Linked DNA regions of Coturnix japonica. The protein of the gene in region 1 interacts with the protein of each later gene in a pairwise test. Links are inferred from orthologs where the notes say so. Each region holds a gene or a part of one and is shown in the gene's direction. Other genes may lie near its edges. The genes, in order: GTPBP3 and PARP11.

Region 1 (10,397 bases):
AGGTGACACATGGCCAGGCATGGTGTAGCACAGCCCCCTCCCAGCCCCACTGCCCCCCCCCCCAGCTCACCTCTGCCTGCAGCCCCACAGCGGTGCTGGGATCCAATGCGGCCGCAGCGCCGGGAGATGGGAAACGGCAGCAAAAATGGGGGGGGAGTGAAAAAGCAGCCTGTCTCCATGGAAACATGGGGAGGCCCCGTGTGGTGGTGATACGTAGGGATGGGGATGGTCCCCAGGGTCCCATTGTCCCCCCCCTGGATGGTACCCAGCACCCGTCCTGCTCTGGGGTGGCTGTGATGGAGGGGTTGCTGTCCCCCTGCTCACTGTCCCCATTGGGGTGCATGGGGACCCCTCACATCCCAGCCTGGCTGTGGGGCAGGATGAGGCCCCATAGAGCCAGTGGGTCCCAATGCCCTCTGTCAGCTCCAGGTCACCTCTGTGCCTCAGTTTCCCCTTTTGCAACTGGGCAGGGACGTCACTGCTTGCCCCAGGGCAGGGAAGGTTGTGGGGCACAGGAAATCCTACACACACCGGGCAGGAAATGCCAGACATCCATAAGGACAAACATTGGGATGTGCACTAAGACCGGCATCAGGACCTGGGACACACACCAGGCCCCGTCCCAGCCCAATTCCATGCCCCCCATCCCAGCTGAGACCCAGCAAACTCATCTCCTATGTCACTGCTGTGAGCTGTGGGTGCAGGACCAGGACGGCACCGGGCTGGCAGCCAGAAGGGGTGGAGGGGCAGATCCTATGTAGGGGGGGGGCACCACTCACCCACCCCACACACAGGGACAGCCCTGGGGGTGGTGCAGGGCCTTGCACAAGTGTGGCATTGTCAGCTCTAACACAGCTGCAGAGCTGGGATGGCACCGGGGAAGAGGCTTCAGCTGGGGATGGGGTGACTCCCTGGGACCCCCCCCCAACTCTACCTCATTCACACTGCCATACAATGGGACCCCCAGGCTCAGTGGGTCCCCTGTGCTGGGGCATGGATGGGGATGATTCAGTGCTGCTGTATTATTGATGGCCACAAAGGGACGTGTGGGGAGGGGGCACTGGGGGGGGGGCACCACACACACATGTGCCATGCCATGCCATGTGTGTGACCCCACGGTGCCACACGTGTGACTCCATGGCACAACCTCAATGGCACCACACTGCCCCACAGAGCCGTGGGGTCACCAAGAGAGACATGGCGGGGGGGGGGGGCTGCAGAGGGGTCCCAGAATGGGCTTTGTCCACTTGAAGGTGACTAGGAGGTGGGGGGGGGATGTTTCTGCCCCCTCCTCCAGCCGTGGGGCCATTCCTGCTCCATGTCCCCACGGACCCCCCCAGGTCCTCCCGGTGCCACCCTGCATTGTGGGGACATCACAGCCGCCCAGCCACCGCTCACCTTGGGGTAAGGTCACCGCAGCCGCAGGGCTCCGGGTACCCAACCGCTGCCACCCGCATCGGGAGCACCGGGCGGTACCGCGGGGGGGGGCACAAAGTGGGTCACCCTCCCACCACGAATCCCCTCGTCCCAACGCGGTCGCATCCCCGGTGGTGTCACCCCGCTCGGTGTCACCCGCCGCGGGGACCCGCTGACAAAGCCTTCATCCCTCAGCCCCCGCCCCCACCCGGCCCTGGGGAGGTCGGGGTGGGGGGGGAGGGAAGGGGAGGTAAAAAGGGACATGGCTGGAGGGGGGGGGGGCAAAAATGGCCCTTCCCTGGGGTGGGGGGGGCTACAATGGTAAGGAGGGGGCACAGCTTGCCCGAGGGCCGGGGGGGTACCGCTGCTGTTCTTCCCGCCACAACGGGCGCTTTATGGGAGGGGCAAACGGGGGGGGGGGGGGGTCACAGCAGAGTCCTGAACGGACCCCCGAACCGGGTGTAGGGACGCGGTATGCCCAGCAATGTGCCGGGGCCCAGCACGGACCCCCCCGGGCATGAGAGGGGAGGACGCATCAAGTACCAACCCACCCCCCACGGACCGCAAGCGGGCTGCCCGGAGCGGCCGCGCCGCATTGGAACCGCAAAGGATCCGGCCCCCACGTCCCCCGCCCCAAATGCTCCCCCAAACCCACAATACCGGTTCGTACGTCCCTGCCCCCCTCCTCCTCCATCCCCGCTGCCAACCTACCCAAGACCGCCCCCCGGGGCGCCGGCTTCTCGTCCGTTCGTCCCCAGGGCGGGGACCCCCCTTCCGGGCCGTATTCTCCGTACGTGGCGGTGCCCGCGGGCCCGGTTCAGGGCATGATGAGGGGGCTTCCGGGCTGCGGCGGAGGCCTTCGGTCGGAGCGGCCGCGCAATGGGGTACCGAGTCGGTCCGTGGGTCGGAGCCACCGCGAACCGAGCCCGAAACCGGCCGCCCTGCGCCCCGGACGGGAGGAGGAGGAGGAGGGACAAAGGCGGCGGAGCGCCGCGCTTCGGGCCCCGGCAGCGTTGGTTGGATTGGCAAGCGCCAAGAATGTGGGGCCGCGACGGCTGCATCCCCCCCCCCCCTTCAGAGCCTGGCACCCCCACCCTTAAGTTGCCTGCAAAACCCCCCCCAATTCCTTCCCCATCCCACCCGCGCCAACCCTATCACCACCGCTGTGCCCCACCAGCATCCTCCCAGTCCCCTCCTGTTACAAATCCCCCCCCCCTGCTGTACATCTGCCACCCCAAATTCCACATCAGAACCCCCGTTCCCCAATCACCCGACATCCCCCCCCCTGCTCCCCCAATCCCATGTTCTCCCCCCACACCGCAGGCACACAGAGACGCCGCAGCCTCCGGGCTTCAAAGCTTGCTAAACATATTTACGGTTTGTGATACTTGGCACCGCCGCGCGCGGAGGGTAAAACAACCGAGCGGGGCCCACGCCACCTTGCCCCCCCGCTGACATTTGGGATCCCTCCCACCACCCCCCCACCCCCAACAGCCCCCACACTCAATGACTCAATGAGGGAGGGGGGGGGGGGCAATGGAACACCCCAGACCCCCCCGCAAAGTGCCCATAAAGAGGATAGGATGGGGGGGTTGGCACCACGTGCATGCCCACTGCTCGACCCCCGTGCCGCAAATGTGATTATCGGGGGCGTGGGGATCCCATACAGGGTCGTGTCCCCCCCCGGCTCTGTGTCTATTTTGGCACTGTCTGTCAATGCTGAGGGTTGGTGCCACCCGGCCATCCCATTTAGGGACCCACTGAACCACCCCGCCCCAATAGCCAGAGCCACCCCAGCGGGGTTTATACCCCCATTAAGGGCCCTGCCCCAGGTGGATCATGGGGACCCCAATGGGGGGGTGGGCAAATTGGTGTACACAATGGGGCTGATGGGGGCGGGGGGGGGCCAATGATGGGGCCACTAGAATCCCATCCGTGCCCCCAGTCCCTCCCGCGATCCCCCCATCATTCCCTGCCATCTACCCTCCCTTCCCTCTCTCCTCCATTCCCCTCCCAAAGATTCCCTCCTCCATCCTCCCACTATCCCCCGCCCTTCCCCTCCCCCCTCCTTTGATCTCCGCTCCATGGTCCCCATCTCATCCTACCAGTCCCCCCCCCCCCTCCCTCCTACTTAAAATTGCCTGGCAAGCGTGAGGCGGCGACAGCGGGAAGCGCCCGTAAAACGCCTCAGGCTGCCTTGACGGCCAAATTCCCTCATCTTCGAGAAACCAATCAAGAAATAAGACTTTGGAGGGGACATAAACCCCGCCTCTTTTCAGCAGACAACCAATCGGTGGCTTGGAGTGGGCGAGGCGTTGTTGGTGTGGGCGTGGTTTGATTGGAGTGGGCGTGGCTTTTTTAAGGCTGGCGGTGGGCGGGGGCTTTTTGGGGTGCAGCATGGTCGCTGCGGAGGGCGCATGTAGTGCGGTGGGAAACGGAGGTGGGGGCAACCCTTAATGGGGGGCACCTTAATGCGGGGGGATGGGGGACCTTATAAATAGGGGGGGTGGAACCTTTAGGAGAGGGGTTGGGTTCACACATTAATGGGGGGGTAGGGCGCCATTAAAAGGGGCTGGCGACCATTAAAAGGGGGGTGGTCCCCAACCTAATGTGGCGGGGCGTGGGCGAATCCTTAACAAGGGGGGTGTGGCAAACTTAAAAAAGAGGAGGGTGGCGCCCACCATTAAATAAGCGTATGGGTGGGACCTTAATCGGGGGCGGTGGGCACCTAAGAAAGAGGCGGGTGGGGCAACCTTAATTCGGGGGGCTTGGGCACCTTAATGGGAGGGTGGGACCTTTGGTGGGGGTGTGCCTTGAGGGGCGGTTGCTCCTATGAGGCGGTGCAGGGGGTCCCAATGGGGGGGGGTGCAGCCCTAATGAGTGGGTGTTGTAAGGGGAGGGGGTGCATTGAGTGTAAGTTGGAAGGATTGGGGGGGGCACATACCATTGCTCATGGGTAAGTGAGGATGGGGGGGCCCTGGTTGTTGGTTGAATGGGGTTGGGGGGGGGGCACAAGCTTATGGGATGGGGGAGGGTCTTTTTGGGGGGGGGGGTCGTTGCACTTCCATACGCCTTTATGGGATGTTGTGTCCCCCCCCCCCCTCTAACTAGGTGTACACTGTGCTCGGTGGCCCCAGGGGACACCATCTTTGCCGTCTCCTCCGGACACGGGCGCTGTGGGGTGGCCGTTATCCGTACCAGCGGTCCCGGTAGTGGGGGGGCTTTACTCAGCCTTACCGGGAGCACCGAGTTGCCCCCCCCCCGCCTTATGACCCTGAGGCGCATCCGGGACCCCCACACCGCAGAGCTGCTGGACCGTGGGCTCGTTGTATGGTTCCCAGGTGGGAGATGGGGGGAGAAGATGGAATATGGGGGGTGGGTCCCCTATGAGGGTCTCAGTGGGGGGCACCGTGGAGGGCCCTGGGTTTGCAGTGGGGACTTATTGGACCCTGGAAGGGGCTGTTGGGTGCATGGGGGGGGGGTGACTGGGTGCTAATCAGGTGGATCTGGGGGTCTGATGTGGGTTTTGGGTGCCCAAGGGGGTGGATATCGGTGCCCATTGGGGGTCTGATGGGGGGTCAAAGGGTTTGGTGTAAGTTCTGGGTGCCAGGTGGGGGTCTGGTCATCACATGCAGCCCCTCTGTGCTGCCCTGGCTGCTCCAGCATCAAACACTGCCCCATTGTGCTGACCTTGCAGTGCAGCTGTGGGCATCGGGGGTCTCTCTCCAGCCCCCCATGCCCCCATGGGATTGAAGGCTCTCCCCATGCTCTACAGGACCCCAAAGCTTCACCGGGGAGGACTGTGCTGAGCTTCACGTGCACGGTGGGCCTGCAGTGCTGAGCGGAGTGCTGCGGGCACTGGGTGAGCCCTTCCCACCCCCATCCCCCTTGTTTTCCCCCCACCCTTTATCCCCCCCATCCCTCTCAATGCTGACAGCTGCTCTCAGGGCGCCTCTCTGGGCTCCGTCCTGCTGAGCCGGGTGAGTTCACCCGCCGTGCTTTCCACCGGGGGAAGCTGGACCTGACGGCAGCCGAAGGGCTGCGGGATCTCATCCATGCTGAGACTGAGGCACAGAGGCAACAGGCCCTGAGGCAGATGGAGGGTGAGCTGGGCAGGCTGTACCAGCGGTGGGGTGAGACCCTCACCCAGGTAGGGGCTTTTGGGGTCATCGGGTGGGGGGCTTGGGGATGCACAAGCTGTCTATGCTGACCCACATTCCACACCCCAGGCTCTTGCTCATATTGAAGCATACATTGATTTCAGTGAAGATGACAATGTAGAGGAAGAGGTGTTGTCCCAAGGTAAGGTAAGGAGGGGTGGGGGGATGCCCTGACCCTGCTGTGTCCTCACCCCCACCTCTGTATCCCTGCAGTGGATGAAGCTGTGAGGGCACTGGAGCAGGAGATCGCTGCCCACCTGCAGGATGGGCGCCGGGGGGAGCTGCTGCGCTCGGGGGTCCACGCTGTCATCGCCGGCCCCCCCAACGTGGGCAAGAGCAGCCTGCTCAACATGCTGTGTGAGTGGGGCACGGGGGGCTCCATGCGGCCGCCCCCCACCTGAGGCTGAGCCACATCCCCGATGCTATAAGGGTTTGTGTCCCTGGTGTCGTCCCCCTGAGCCCTGTGTCCCCCCCTGTCCCCAGGCCAGCGTCCAGCTGCCATCGTGTCCCCCATAGCGGGGACCACACGGGATGTGGTGGAGGTGTCCCTGAATGTCAGTGGTTACCCTGTGGTGCTGAGCGACACAGCGGGGCTGCGTGATGCCACCGACCCCATTGAACAGGAGGGAGTGAGCCGTGCTCGGGACCGGTGAGCTGGGGGGGGGGGCAGGATGTGGTACTGAGGGGGGGGCTGAGCAGGTGGTGATACAGCAGGTTGTGTCCCCACAGCCTTCAACATGCAGACTTAGTGCTGGCTGTGTTGGATGCCACCACGGTACCCACTGATCCAGCTGAGCTGGGGGCTGCTCTGGGCTCCCTGGTGCCCCCCAGCACCCCCTGCATCCTGGTTCTCAACAAGGCCGACCTGCTGGGGGGGCACAAGGGGGCTCTATGCGATGCCTGCACCCACGGACCCCCACTGCCCCCCACCACCCTGCTGTCCTGCAAGACGGGCGAAGGCACCGACAGCCTCCTACAGCTGCTGGGGCAGCAGCTGGCACAGCTGTGAGTGCCACGGGTATGGGGGGGGGGGCACAGGATGGCACCAGTCCTATCCATGCACAGATGGCTTTTGGTGGGGGGGTGGATGCTGCAGGGTGTTGTGCCTTCCTCCTTTCCCCTTCCAGGTGTGGAGACCCCCTGGCTGGCTCACCCACCCTGACGCAGAGCAGGCACAGCACCCAGCTGCATGGCTGCATGGCTGCACTGGTGCTGTACAGGCAGCAGCAGGACGTGGGGATGGCAGCCGAGCAGCTGCGCCTGGCACGGCGGCACCTGGGGCGCATCACGGGGCACGTGGGGGCTGAGGACATCCTTGATGTCATCTTCAGGGACTTCTGCATTGGGAAGTGATTGTTGGGGGGTCTGTTGGGGTATTAAACCGTGGTGCCTTGGGCTGGTCTGTATCTTTGCCCTGTGCCCATAGCACTAAGCCTGGTGTGGTGCTCTCTATGCTGGGGGGGGGGGAGCGTATCCTGAGCCCCAGCCGTGGGAAAAGCAGCTGGGAAGGGCTGTGCTTCCTGGCTGGGAGGATGCACTCAGAGCTGGAGTGTTGGTGATGGAAAATCCTCTGCTTCCCCCGTGGGCATCCCCTCCCCATTGCACGACATGGGGCCCATCGTGGTACCCTAAAGGTGGTGGTCCCAGCCCTAATGAGGTGGGTGCCCTCTTAGGGTGGGGGTCCCTGTGGCCCTTGTTGTTCTCACACCCCCCAGACGGGGCTCCCAGCAGTGCCACCATGCGTCAGGGCAGCCCTGCTACGTGGCTTTGCTTGTCTTATGAGTGATGGGGGGAGAGGGGGGGGTACCCAAAGGGACCCAGAGGTGCTGGTGGGGGGACAGGGACATTGCAATGTCCTGCAGTGGGCTGAGTGTCACTGCGTGGTGTTGGTGGCCTGCAGGTGGAGCGGGACCGGGGCTGCGGCGTGTCGGGTGTCAGGAAAAGCTCTTTAAACAGGAAAGAGAGGAACGCGAGGCCATAAATCACTGCACGGCCATAAATCACTGCACGGCCATAAATCACTGCGCCTCGGCCCCTGCGTGCCAAAGCTGGGGGGGGGCGGCGGGGACAGGGGGGACTGCAGGGCTTTATTGGGGACAGGGGGGGCTCTGCTTTGGCTGAGAGCTTCGCTCTCACTTCCCAACTGCACAGTGGGGAAAGCTCCGGGTTTAGCAGCAGGATGGGGGGGAAATGGCAGCTGCCCCAGGGGGAACCTTGACCTGACCCCTTCCCCACCCCCCCCCTCTTGGTGCTGGGGGAGTCCCTTACATCCTTGGCTTCTGCTCGGCCCCTTCTGGGAACAGCCTCCCCCTCTTCCTGATCTGTTTCCTCAGCCTCGCTACCTTTGCAGTGGGACGGGATGTTCCTGCCCCCCCCCCTCCCCAAACACTCTCTATGGCCTTTTTCCCCCATCCCAGCCCCCCCCCCCCCCAAGTCCAGCAGTGAAGCACACACGCAATGAGTTGTGTCAGTGCTCAGCACGGCTTGTATTCACAGCAGTTCCAGGTACACACACGTGGGCACCGAGCAGGGAGGAAGGAATGGATGGGCATCATGGGCTGGGGTTTGGTTGGGGAGGGGGGGAGTGGAAGGGGAAGGGGAGGAAGGGGGGGATGGGGCTCATTCCCTTCTCTCTCCTGGTTGGGGTTTTCCATCCGTGCCGCTCCGGGCTCATCCTGCTGCCCTCCAGCCCCTCACCACGGCTCTCCTCATGCTACCCACTGCAGGGAGAGCACAGTCAGCCCCATCCCCTCCCCATCCATCCATCTCCAGTGCCCACCTCCTCACCTGGGGTTCCTCATCATGGCCGTGTACTGCTCCAGCACGTTCTGCACCACTTTCTGGATCTCCTCAGTGTTGATTTTATCTGGCAGGATGAGAGCAAATGGGGTTCAAATGGGGGGGTTGAACTCAGTTGGGGCAGTGCCCGTAGGGGATGAACTCACCCTGATTCTGCAACAGATCCGCATAGGAGCTGGGGAAGGGGCCCGACCTTACGCTGCCCACAGCACTGCCTGGCACCCATGGGGCTGTGTAGTAGGTGCCCACCTGCAGAGGGGAGAGTTGGGTGTGTATGTGTGTGTCTGTGTTGGTTTCCCCTGGCCCTCGCCCTGACTGGGCATAGGGGACAGGGGTGGCACAATGTGGTGCTGTGAGCCCCATAGGGTTGTGCTAAAGGCTGTGGGCAAGAGCGCATCCCAGAGGGACAGGGTTAAAAAAGGTGCATGCAAAGAAGTGCCCGTGCAAAAGGAAATGTGCCAAAGTACCTCTGCAAAACCACACATTAAACACACCCAGTCCCTACCTTGGAGCTCATGCAGAGGCTGAGCTGCTGGCTGAAGTAGTTGGCTTGTGCAGCAACTTTGCTCTTCTCATCCAGCTCCTTGCTCAGCTTCTCCTTGTCCGCCAGCAGCTTCCTCCTCTCCTCCTGGCTGCCTTGCAGCTGCTGCTGCACCTCCTGCAGCCTCTTGCCCAGCTCCTGCTTCTCGTGGGAGCAGTTGAGGTGACACTGCTGCAAAGTCAAGTCGCAGACGCTCTTCCCCACGTAGTTGCTCTCGTGCTGCTGCTGCCTGGAGAAGAGCTCCTCGATGCGATGCATCAGCAGCCTCAGCTGCTCCTCCACTTGGCTGCAGCCGAAGTTCTTGTTGCTCATGCTCATGGTGCGCAGGTTGTACAGCACGTTGGAGCTCAGCGTGTCGCATTCCCTCCTCAGGTGATCCAGCTCTCCCTTGGTGGTGACGCAGTGAGCACCCGCCACCTTCAGATCCATCTGGCAACGTTCTTTCTCCTGCTTGGCTTTATCCAGGGCTGTTTCAGCCGTGCTGCAGTTCTGCCCCAGCTCCTTCCTCTGCTGCGTCGCCATGTCCAGCTGCTGCTGCAGCTGCTGCTTCTCGTCTGCATGGGGATGTGGAGAGTTGGGGTGCACCATGGGACCCCCACCCGTCACCCTGACCCTGCCCAGCCCGGGGGTACGTTGTGCATGGGATCCCTGAGGGTTATTGGGGACCCCCGTGCACAGACTCTGGGTGTGTAGGGGGGTCTGTGGGCCCTCAGGGGGTTGGGAAGGGGACCCTTACTGGCGCACTTGATGTTGATGAGGTTGATGCCCATGTAGCACTTCTCCAAGTGAGTCTTTTGGAAGATGATGGTCCTGTTCATGTCTTCTAGCTGGGGGGGAAAGCAGTGGGTTGGGGGAGGGGGGCAGGAAGGGAATGAGGTCAGTGTGGCCTCACGGCAGCACCAGGAGCACAGCCAAAGTGCCCCCAGGGATTGATGAGTCCAGAGATTGGAGCCCACCCTCCCCAACCCCTCACCCATCTCTCTGGGGTCCCAGGCAGAGGATCCTCACCCATCCCTTTGGGGTTCTGAGCAGGGGTCCCACACCCCACACCCCACACCCCTCACCCATCCCTTTAGGCTCCAGGTTAGGGATAACACCCCCCTGCTTCCCCTCCAGCTCTCACCCCATCCCTTTGGGCTCCAGGTTAGGGATAAACCCCCTCCCCCCTTCCCCTCCAGCTCTCACCCCATCCCTTTGGGCTCCAGCTTAGGGATAAACCCCCTCCCCCCTTCCCCTCCAGCTCTCACCCTGGGGTTGCTGTTGGGGGCTTGGCTGCTGTTGCATTTGTCCAGCTGCCCCTGCACCTTCTGCAGCTGCCCCTGCAGCCCTTGGTTGGCCTTCAGCGTGGCGTTGAGGGTACGTGTCAGGTTGGCATTCCGACCGCTCAAGGTGATGATTTTCTGGTATTGTTCCTGCAGCCTCCCATCCAATTGCCGGACGTAATTATCGGTGCCAGCGTGAGCGTTGCCATACACCATGAA
Region 2 (8,868 bases), on another chromosome or scaffold:
GCTCAAAGGATGAAAACTGCAGCCTCCCTAGACTAACTGTGTCTGCAATTGGTCATACACAATGTAAGGGTAGTATTAAGTTTTTCTTAGGTTTAATTGGAATTTCCTGTATTTTCATTTGTGTCCATTGCTGCTTGTCGTTTCACTAGATGCCACCAAGAATTTGATTCTATATTCCTTGCTCTGCCCCCACTATCAGCTGCTAGGTTTTGACAAACCTTCTATTCTTGAGGCTAAATAATTTCAGATTTCTCACTCTTTTTACATGTCAGATGCTCTAATCCCTTAATCATATGCACGGTCCTTATGCCACTGGAAGCAATTACTTGAGCTCAGCAGTTCAGGTAGTTTCTCTCATTAGGAAGAAAATTGTTCCACTGGAGAATTTAGTCAGACTTGATATCTCTTTGGAAGTCAACTGCCAATTACCTTCATATTACTGAAAATAATTTCCAGAAGGATTTGTTCCATCACTTCTCCCAGAATCAATGCCAGGCAGACTAGTCTGTTGTTCCTTGGATCCTCTTTCTTGCTTTTCTTGAGATTTGCTCTTTTCTAGTCCTTAGGAAGCTGTGATCATTATGACATTCCAAGGAAAACTGAGTACTGTTGCAACTGCATCATCTGTCTCATCTGTATTTGCATGATGGCAAGTCCCATGGATGAATATATGTCCATTCTGTTCAGATGTTCCCTGATGAAGGCCTTCAGAGATACCTTTTGGGTCTGGAAGTAGAAAAGATATTCCTGAGAACCATGAGGATATACAGTGCAGAGACATGGAAATTAATTTTGCTTCTTCTTATGGGTGGCTGTGCTCTTCAGAGTTCCTAGACAACCTGATCACACAGTTTGCAAAGTAGGCTTTTCTGCAATCACTTCAGTCTCACTAACTTCATTCCCCAAGCAGAGAAGAAACTACCCACAGTTTCTTCTGCTGCACAGTGTAATTAGACACAAGATTTTTTTTCTTCTGAGAAGTCTTTGCCCAAAACTGGGAGCAGAGATAAGAGAGCCTACACAAAGAAGCCATTCCCTACATGAACATCATTCACTAGGGTTGAGCTGAACAGAAATGACCTCTCCTGACATTGATCAAGGTTGGTAGTAATCCCTGCATCCTTTTCTTAGGGTATTGCAGGAAAGGAGTGCACCAAGCTGCTGGAAAGCCTCTTTTTCTCTATGTGTAGAATTAACCTTTCTATTGAAATCTCAGATTGAAAGAGTTCAGTGCAGACATGGTATGTACACTAGAGCACAGAAAAACTACACTATAAACACAGGCAAAGAAGTGTGAAGAGCAAAGTTTAGTCATTAAAACAGTGTCCAGGGAGCAGTCCCATTCAGGCACTTGGATCACACTTGAGAAACTACACTGGTGTTGGCAGCCTTCTGCTCTTGACATTATCTGATTCTCTGACTTCATCTCATTGTATTTCAGCTGTTTTTCTCAGACCTTGATGTCATTATGATATGCTATGTTTAATGGTACGTGATTCTCAACCTAGAAAAGGTCTGTCTGTATACCTAGAAAAGGTTTATATTTTACATGCAAAGCATTGTCAGCACCTTTTCAAAAAAAGAAAAAGAAGAAAAAAGAAAAAAAAAAAAAAAGAAAAAATAAGTGTATTTTGCAACAGGTAAAGTGATAATCCTCTCTTATTTCTATACTGTTTGTAAAAGCACAGAAAGGCTACATCCTCACAGTCATGTTTTGTTTTTTTTTTAAAAAGATGTCCCTACTTCTGGAAAATTGCTTCATTCTTGAAACCTCACATTCATGGCAGTGAAATACTCTCAGCAATTCATCAGATGCTGTTCAAACTCAGAAAAGATAACATTTTTTTAATCTCAGAGGTGAGGTCAGCCAGAATCTTGACATTTATCCTGCCTGAAATTCCTTTAGAATATAAGAAACTTGTCATTAGGAAAAATTATTTTCAGAACGAACAGTCAGGCACTGGAATGGGCTGCCCACAGAGGTGGTGGAGTCACTGTCACTGCAGGTGTCTAAGAAACATGTAGAACTGGTATTGAGGGATATGGATTAGTGGGAAATATTGATGGTAGGTGGACAGTTGGACTAAATGATCTCAGAGGTCCTTTCCAACCTTAATGATTCTATGATTTTATGATTTTAAATCCACCCTTTTTCTAATTTGGCTTTTCTTTGTACCAGTTTTGACTGAGATAGAGTTAATATTTATCAAAGTTTGTATGATGCTGTGCTTTAGATCTGTGATCAGAAAAGTGGTCATAATACGTTAATGTTTCAGGTGCCTCTTAACAGAGCTTACACAGTACCAAGGCCTTTTCTGTTTCTTTCACAATCCATCCAGCTGGGGGTGCAAAAGAAGATATGAGTGGAAACAGCCAGTGTAGGTGATCTAAACTGACAAGGAAGATTTACATACTGTAAAACATCATGTTAAAGCAGCAGTTAAAACTAGATGAAAAGATAAGAAATGGGACTGCAGGGAGATGTAAGATGATAACGTTATTTTCCCAAGAAACTGATATGCATGGCATGCTCTGCTGTACTGGAAACAGCTGAACATCTGCCTGCTAGTGAAAACTAGTAAATGAATTCCTCATCTTGCTTTGCTTGTGAACACAGCTTTTGCTTTACCCGTCAAACTGTCTTTCATACATTTTAGACATTTTATCTCAACCTGCAAGTTCTCACGCTTCTACCCTTCCTTTTCTCTTCCATACTGCAGAGAACTGAGCAAGAAGCTGTGTGGTTCTTTACTGACTGCTGAGGTTAATCCACAACAGTTGCCCAATGAAAATCCTTCACAGCAGGACATACTTCACAGGACTTGCACAATTTTACTACAATTGATATAGGTTGGATTTTTTTAGCAATAGCAATTAGCACATTAGTTTAAGAACCAATTTATTAGTTTAGCAAAAGGAATCCACAAGCTACAGTTGTAAAACTGTCCATTTCAGCTTTACTGGGTGAAGAGTCTTGTTTTTCCTCAATAATTTTACACTGGGGACATAATAGAATACTTTTATCTTCTGCCTCAATGATTTTGCCTCACAAGAAGTACTGGAGTCACAATAGAATACTTTTATCTTTTGCCTCAAAATGTGCAAGGACATTTTCCTTGGTTTACACTGTTTTTTAAAAAAGTGGCTTACTATGGCCTAATAAGCATTAGAAATCTTCCAAAGCAGGGAAAAGGAGATGCAAGTGAGCCAAAGGCTTCATTGATTGAGCTGATGGTGAAAAGGGGGGAAGAAGCAGGTAGGCACTCAACTACTCTAGATACCAGTGAGCATGCCCTATTAGCATGTATTTATGAGGTTTTTAAAAAGAACAAATGTGTACACCGATGTACTGCATATGCATGTATTAGCTGTTCAAATGTAGAACCTGAACTCTAAGAGGGTGCAATTGCTTTTCAGGTTGCCAGGTATGTTATCGCATCACGAGGAATAAAGGAAATTTGCTTTCTAACACCACATTGGAGTTGGAGAGTTTTCTTCCCAGATTTTGGATTACACAATGGCCTATCTGCTAGCTTCCAGCACAGTTTCCTAAGACTGCAACTTGCATCTATGGGTTGGACAGTGACAGCTCTTCCACTCAGCAGCTCTCATCATAGAGGTTTCCCTTGAAGGACTCGGGTAAGGCATGTGTATGACTATGTCCTCTTACCAGAAGCCCTTCCTAGAGCTGCTGCCACTTTTCGATCTTGATTACAGGTAAAGCTGCCCAGAGTGTTCATTTTTCATACTCTGAAGATCAACTTGATGGATAACATGGTAGGCTGCAGCTTTTATTCATATTTTCATTAGATAATCTTCTTAGAGCTGCCTTACCTGCTGGTGACACAGATGGCTACGTGCAAAGAATATATATAAAGGCTCTTAAGGAAAATTATGGGCTGTGAAAAATCTTTTGCAGAGAGGAAGACCCTTCTTATCCACAAATACAGCCAATAATTAAAAGAACACATCAGAGGGTGGTTAAAAGACTGCCGAAGAACCTACAACTGACAAAATGTCACACAGCTGCTCCAGGGAGACCGGCCCACACAGCCAGCACGCCAAGCCACAGCTCCACAGAGCGCCACTGAGCGCTGTCTCTTCGTGGCACGATACAAAATCAAACACAAAACGCTCCCTTACATCCTACTTCAACCCCGCCCACTCCGCTAGAAATTTGCATACCAGGCCTCGCCTCTCTATGTGACGATCCGATGTAGCGTTGCCAGTAACAACTGTTGCCCCTCCCTTTTCTTCTGCTATCGGTAACGGAAGCGTCCGGGGTGTAAGCAGTGACGTGACTTGCACTGCTACGCTTGGCCTGCTTCCTTCTCCCCCGTCTCCTCCCCCAACACGTACACTCCTCCCCACTCTCCGGCCAACATGTGGGGAGCGAACTCGGGGTGGGCGGCAGATGCGGTGAGTGCGCGCGGGAGGGGGACGGGGGTAATGGCCGCTCCGTTCCATATGCTCCTCACCCGCCTCCTCGCTACGTGCTGCCGTTTCCTGGCCGGCCCCGCCTCACTCCATCATACCCGCCGCAGGCGTGGGGAGCGACAGCGTTGCAACATCGGGGAAGAGGGGATGGTGGTATAGGCCGCCATCTTCTCCATTTTCGGAGGAGCATGAGAGACAGATCGGGAGGTAGTGGTGCCGTGTGTGGATTAACGCTTTCCCCCGTACAACGTTGCCCCTCTGTACTGTGGGAAATGTGATATAGATCTGGAGGTTATCACGTATTGTTCCCTGTGCTTGTTCTAATGCAGTTCTTCCTTCTCACTTCCACTTCCCAGCCCTATACTCTTTTTTAAGATCACATACCTGATCACATACCATGAGGCCATACATAAGAGGCCACCGGCCATGGTGCATGTTTTCACATCAGACCCTTGGATAATGTTTTTAGGTAAAGCAGTCTTCAACAGTAATATGCTAAATGGACGCTGCAAGAAAGCAGCCCATCTGGATGTGCCTTAAAACATGCTTATTCAAGTTTAAAAGAGCTAATAGGTATATGAGGTTAGGAGTAATAATAAAGCCACACTAGTCACAGCACAGCACACAAATTAGCTCTATTTAGAAGGAGAATTTTGTTGTCAAAATTAGTAGTGTTGCCTTTAAGATGTTTATGGGACCATTTTTGAAAGTGATATTAATGGAAATCGACATGTTTAGAAATAGCATTGCTAATAAAATTCTCACTGCTGCATCTTTGATAGTTGACAACCTGTCATCCAGAAAGTCCGTTGATACATTTCTGTTCACTATGCATGTGTTCATAGGTTTTGGACAAAAAGCTACATTTGCTTTATAATTGGTGTGTATATAGTGGTTAAATTCCTCGGTAAGCTGAGTAATTTTCTTCAAGCGTTTTACATTTGCATCACTTTTGAGAACATCTCTTTTGTTGTGTTTATGTATTTGAGTCATTCTTCCTTAGAAGTATCTGGAACCTACTTGTTTACCCTGTACTTCCCGTCTAAAGGTAGTGCCTATGGTCTGAATTTTTAAAACTGTGGGAATACTTCTGTCTTTAATCAATAGTTTATCCTGGAAGCTGTGTTCTTTCCATATGCATAAATCTGTTTTGATGGGGCACAGGTGAATATGTCTTCACTGTTCATAACTTGTTTGAAAGCCAGTACTGATGTGAATTATCAGATTCAGGGCCCTGAACTAATGTTGGCATGTTGCAGCAATCTGACAATTTTAGTAGAAACATAAGGAAACTTAAGATTACCAAAAAAGCCTGGATTGTATTCCTCTTAGCTGTAAAAATGTGTGTGGACTACAGCATATCAGCCTGTAGAATAGAACAGGGCCAAATACTCATGTAATCAGAAGAATCAAGTTGAAGGTGGAAGTTGATCATCAGAAGATGTTTGGCCAATTGTGCTTTAAAACTAAGTGAATGTAGGCTCTATGGCTTTGTATTGTTGTGAAGAATGGAACAGAGAGTGGTTTTCTTACTCTTATGGCGCTTATGGTGATAAACAGTCATTCCACATTTTAGATGCAGACTTTAGCTGCTTCCATGAAGAGGTTTCTAGGATTGTTTGTAGAACAAACACAGAGAGCAAATAAGGCAGAGGGTGTTGCTAGCATTTTTCTGCTCTGAACTCCTGCCCCAGTGGCACTGGCCAGTTGGTGCCTATGTCTAGTTTCTAGTGTATGCATTCTTCAGGTTGCTATTTACCTTTTTCTGGGTTGAAGTGTTCATGAAGGATCTAAAGCATTCAGGATATTAACTGTACTTGATTTGGATTATTTATACTAGAACACATTGTTCTACTACTTGAAAGAAAAAGTTAAGTTGAGGAAACTGATGGGAAGAGTGCAGTCATGGTTAAGCAGTTTGTCTGGATGAATTTCTAGTACTTTCTGGGAGGAGGTCATACTTCCTCTGAAAGTTCACCCAGTGCTTCATATTTTGATGTTTGGTGGGGGGGGGGGGGGGGTGTTAAAGGTTAGAGCTGGTATGTTAAGCTGTATATGTAATTAGAGTCAAATACTTTCAGGGTTTTCAGGATTTTATTGTTGAATGAGGGAAGGGAACTGGCTAAGATAATTCAAATGGTATACTGGCATAGCTGTTGGGAGGCATGAACTTGTTTAGCCACTTCTTAAACTTGCATAAACTTGCAGTATCCACAGCATGATGTAGAAAGCAATATCACAGTTTGCCATCTATTATGAAGTTTCTCTTTAGATTGTTGTGAACTTAACACATGCAAACACTGATGAGTGTCTTTTCACATAGAGAGAAAATGTCATCAGTTATTCCCTACTCAATTTTGCTATACTTTTATAGACCTGTGTTGTAACTTTTCAAATGTTATTTTTTCCCCCTAAATATGGTGGTAATAGTGTTTGAAAGCCTGTTTTTTTTCTGTGTGATCCATTGTACCAGAACAGAGTGCTAAGTAATTTTGTTGTATCATTTTTAAGTTAATGCAGTGTTGAGAAGCAGTGCACTGTGGACTTTTATTTTTATTTATAACATCTCCTAATGTCTGGTACGATCAGTTTATGCATGGTGAGTATCTATCTAGTAGATGCTTTTGTCAAGCTATAATGCAACTCCAGCACCTTATTCCTATGTAGTGCATTTGACTGTGTTTCGTTATAAGAATAGCTTGTTCGTAGGTTTATCAGTATAAGAAACTTTCATTGATATGTTATAGCATATAGATTCCTCCTGGCTGGGCATGCTTATGGAAATATGAGAAAGAGTTAGCTTTAAAAATGTTTAACTAGCATGAAGGATAATAGCGAATAAGTAGAGTACAGAGAAATTTCCTCTGTAAAACAGAAAGTAACCTAACCATGTTTTTTTATTTAAGAGTTGCAATTCACTTCTTTATTATTATTCTTTTCTTTTTTTTTTTTTCCTTTAATGAATTTCTCAAATAATGTACTTTTGCAAAGAGTATCACAAAAAACTTGATATGCGTGCAAATATTTCAGGAAATGTTTCAAAGAACACCTGAAGAACTCTTTCCAAAGATGGAAAGTTCAGTTGAAGAGATGGATACCTCAGATACTCAGTGGGGCTGGTTTTATTTGGCTGAGTGTGGTAAATGGCATATGTTTCAGGTAACTACAAACAAAGTTACATTACTTTCGACCTCTGTATGTCAAACAACCTATTGATGAAAATGTCTAAATGTACTTTTTCATTTATTTTGAAGACTGATTCAAATAGTCATTGCTCAGTTAGCAGTGAAGATATTGAAAGGAGCTTCAGAACAAACCCATATGGTTCTGTTTCTTTTACTACTGCAAAATTTAACTACACACTAGACTTTTCAGGTATGTATATTCATAGGATTAACTTAAATAACAGAGATGTCAGGTACACCAGTTCATTTGCTTTGTGTAGTGTTCTCAATTCTTGTCAACTCTTATAAATAACTCCTAATAGTGAGGCCAGTATTCTGAGTTTTTTATCTCAGATGTTGGTTTATTAATTGTTGAAATAGGAATTCCTTTCAAGCACCTTTTGATGTAATAATGTTGTTTGGGGAAAAAAAAAGCAACAACAACAACAAAAAAACCCAAAAAAACCCAAACCAAACCAAAAAAAAAAACCATATGCTATAGATGAATTCCAGAAGCATTTATCGTAACTCTTGTTTTATGCTCAGATATGAAGCAAACCAACCTAACTACCCTTAAACAACGTCCAATAAAGCGAGCTCCCTTTTCTATCAGCGCTTTCAGGTAAGGAAATAAAATGAAGCCTGATTTTGATCTTAAACCTGATTTTGATTTTAAAATGGAACAAACATATGTTTTATATGGACTGTCTATATTTATTTAGTTTCTTTGTCAAATGATTTGAAAATATGAGAAATCTAGTCAAGTAATGAAGGAATAAATTTTAGAGGGAGAATAACAAAAGGATTTATTTATTTATTGTTTGTTTGTTTGTTTATTGAGAAAATATTGAGGGATATGATTTAGCTGGGAAGTATTTGTGATGGTTGAACTGGATGATCTTTTCCAACCTTGATAATTCTGTGATTCTGTGAAAATTTGGGTCTTGTAGTGGGAGAGGCAGGGCATACTGAATATTGGTATCCTTTGGCAAGCTGCTTAAATTTGTGCCTGACTTCAGCTGTTGAATTCCCTTGCAGTAAATAACCTGTTCAATCAGAATTGCCGATTAGAGAATTGGAGGAACAGCAGCAGAAAGAAATGGAGTAGTTTGTTCTAGTATAACAGTGACTTCCTAAATTACTTAGAAGGAACACTAATGATGTAATGCTCTGGCAGTCAATAAAAACTAGTATACTTAGTGGTAGTACTACAGATAAAATTGACCATCTCTAATGTGGGTTACTTTTTCCAAATATTTCTTAAACA

What was found.
Region 2: the proteins of GTPBP3 (region 1) and PARP11 interact in binary tests that used the Homo sapiens proteins (3 or more experiments, as listed by UniProt). The two-hybrid records come from large-scale screens. The link is inferred for Coturnix japonica from reciprocal best matches to the Homo sapiens genes GTPBP3 and PARP11.

The regions. Positions count from the first base shown.
Region 1 is NC_029543.1:2,483,278-2,493,674, forward strand, and holds GTPBP3 (tRNA modification GTPase GTPBP3, mitochondrial), read left to right. Parts: upstream 1-4,464; 5' UTR 4,465-4,492; coding exon 4,493-4,757; intron 4,758-5,191; coding exon 5,192-5,278; intron 5,279-5,363; coding exon 5,364-5,566; intron 5,567-5,645; coding exon 5,646-5,718; intron 5,719-5,789; coding exon 5,790-5,933; intron 5,934-6,059; coding exon 6,060-6,225; intron 6,226-6,305; coding exon 6,306-6,581; coding exon of another isoform or gene 6,582-6,585; exon of another isoform or gene 6,586-6,594; intron 6,595-6,703; coding exon 6,704-6,929; 3' UTR 6,930-6,972; downstream 6,973-10,397. Other genes in the region: ANO8 (anoctamin-8), read right to left, coding at 71-179; PLVAP (plasmalemma vesicle-associated protein), read right to left, coding at 8,290-8,296, 8,364-8,442, 8,522-8,624, 8,881-9,470, 9,653-9,743, 10,164-10,397. UniProt on the Homo sapiens protein: GTPase component of the GTPBP3-MTO1 complex that catalyzes the 5-taurinomethyluridine (taum(5)U) modification at the 34th wobble position (U34) of mitochondrial tRNAs (mt-tRNAs), which plays a role in mt-tRNA decoding and mitochondrial translation.
Region 2 is NC_029516.1:68,157,558-68,166,425, reverse strand, and holds the start of PARP11 (protein mono-ADP-ribosyltransferase PARP11), read left to right. Parts: upstream 1-4,254; 5' UTR 4,255-4,383; coding exon 4,384-4,419; intron 4,420-4,457; exon of another isoform or gene 4,458-4,647; intron 4,648-6,948; exon of another isoform or gene 6,949-7,009; coding exon of another isoform or gene 7,010-7,036; intron 7,037-7,467; coding exon 7,468-7,596; intron 7,597-7,691; coding exon 7,692-7,812; intron 7,813-8,147; coding exon 8,148-8,223; intron 8,224-8,868. UniProt on the Homo sapiens protein: Mono-ADP-ribosyltransferase that mediates mono-ADP-ribosylation of target proteins. Plays a role in nuclear envelope stability and nuclear remodeling during spermiogenesis. Inhibits the type I interferon activated signaling pathway.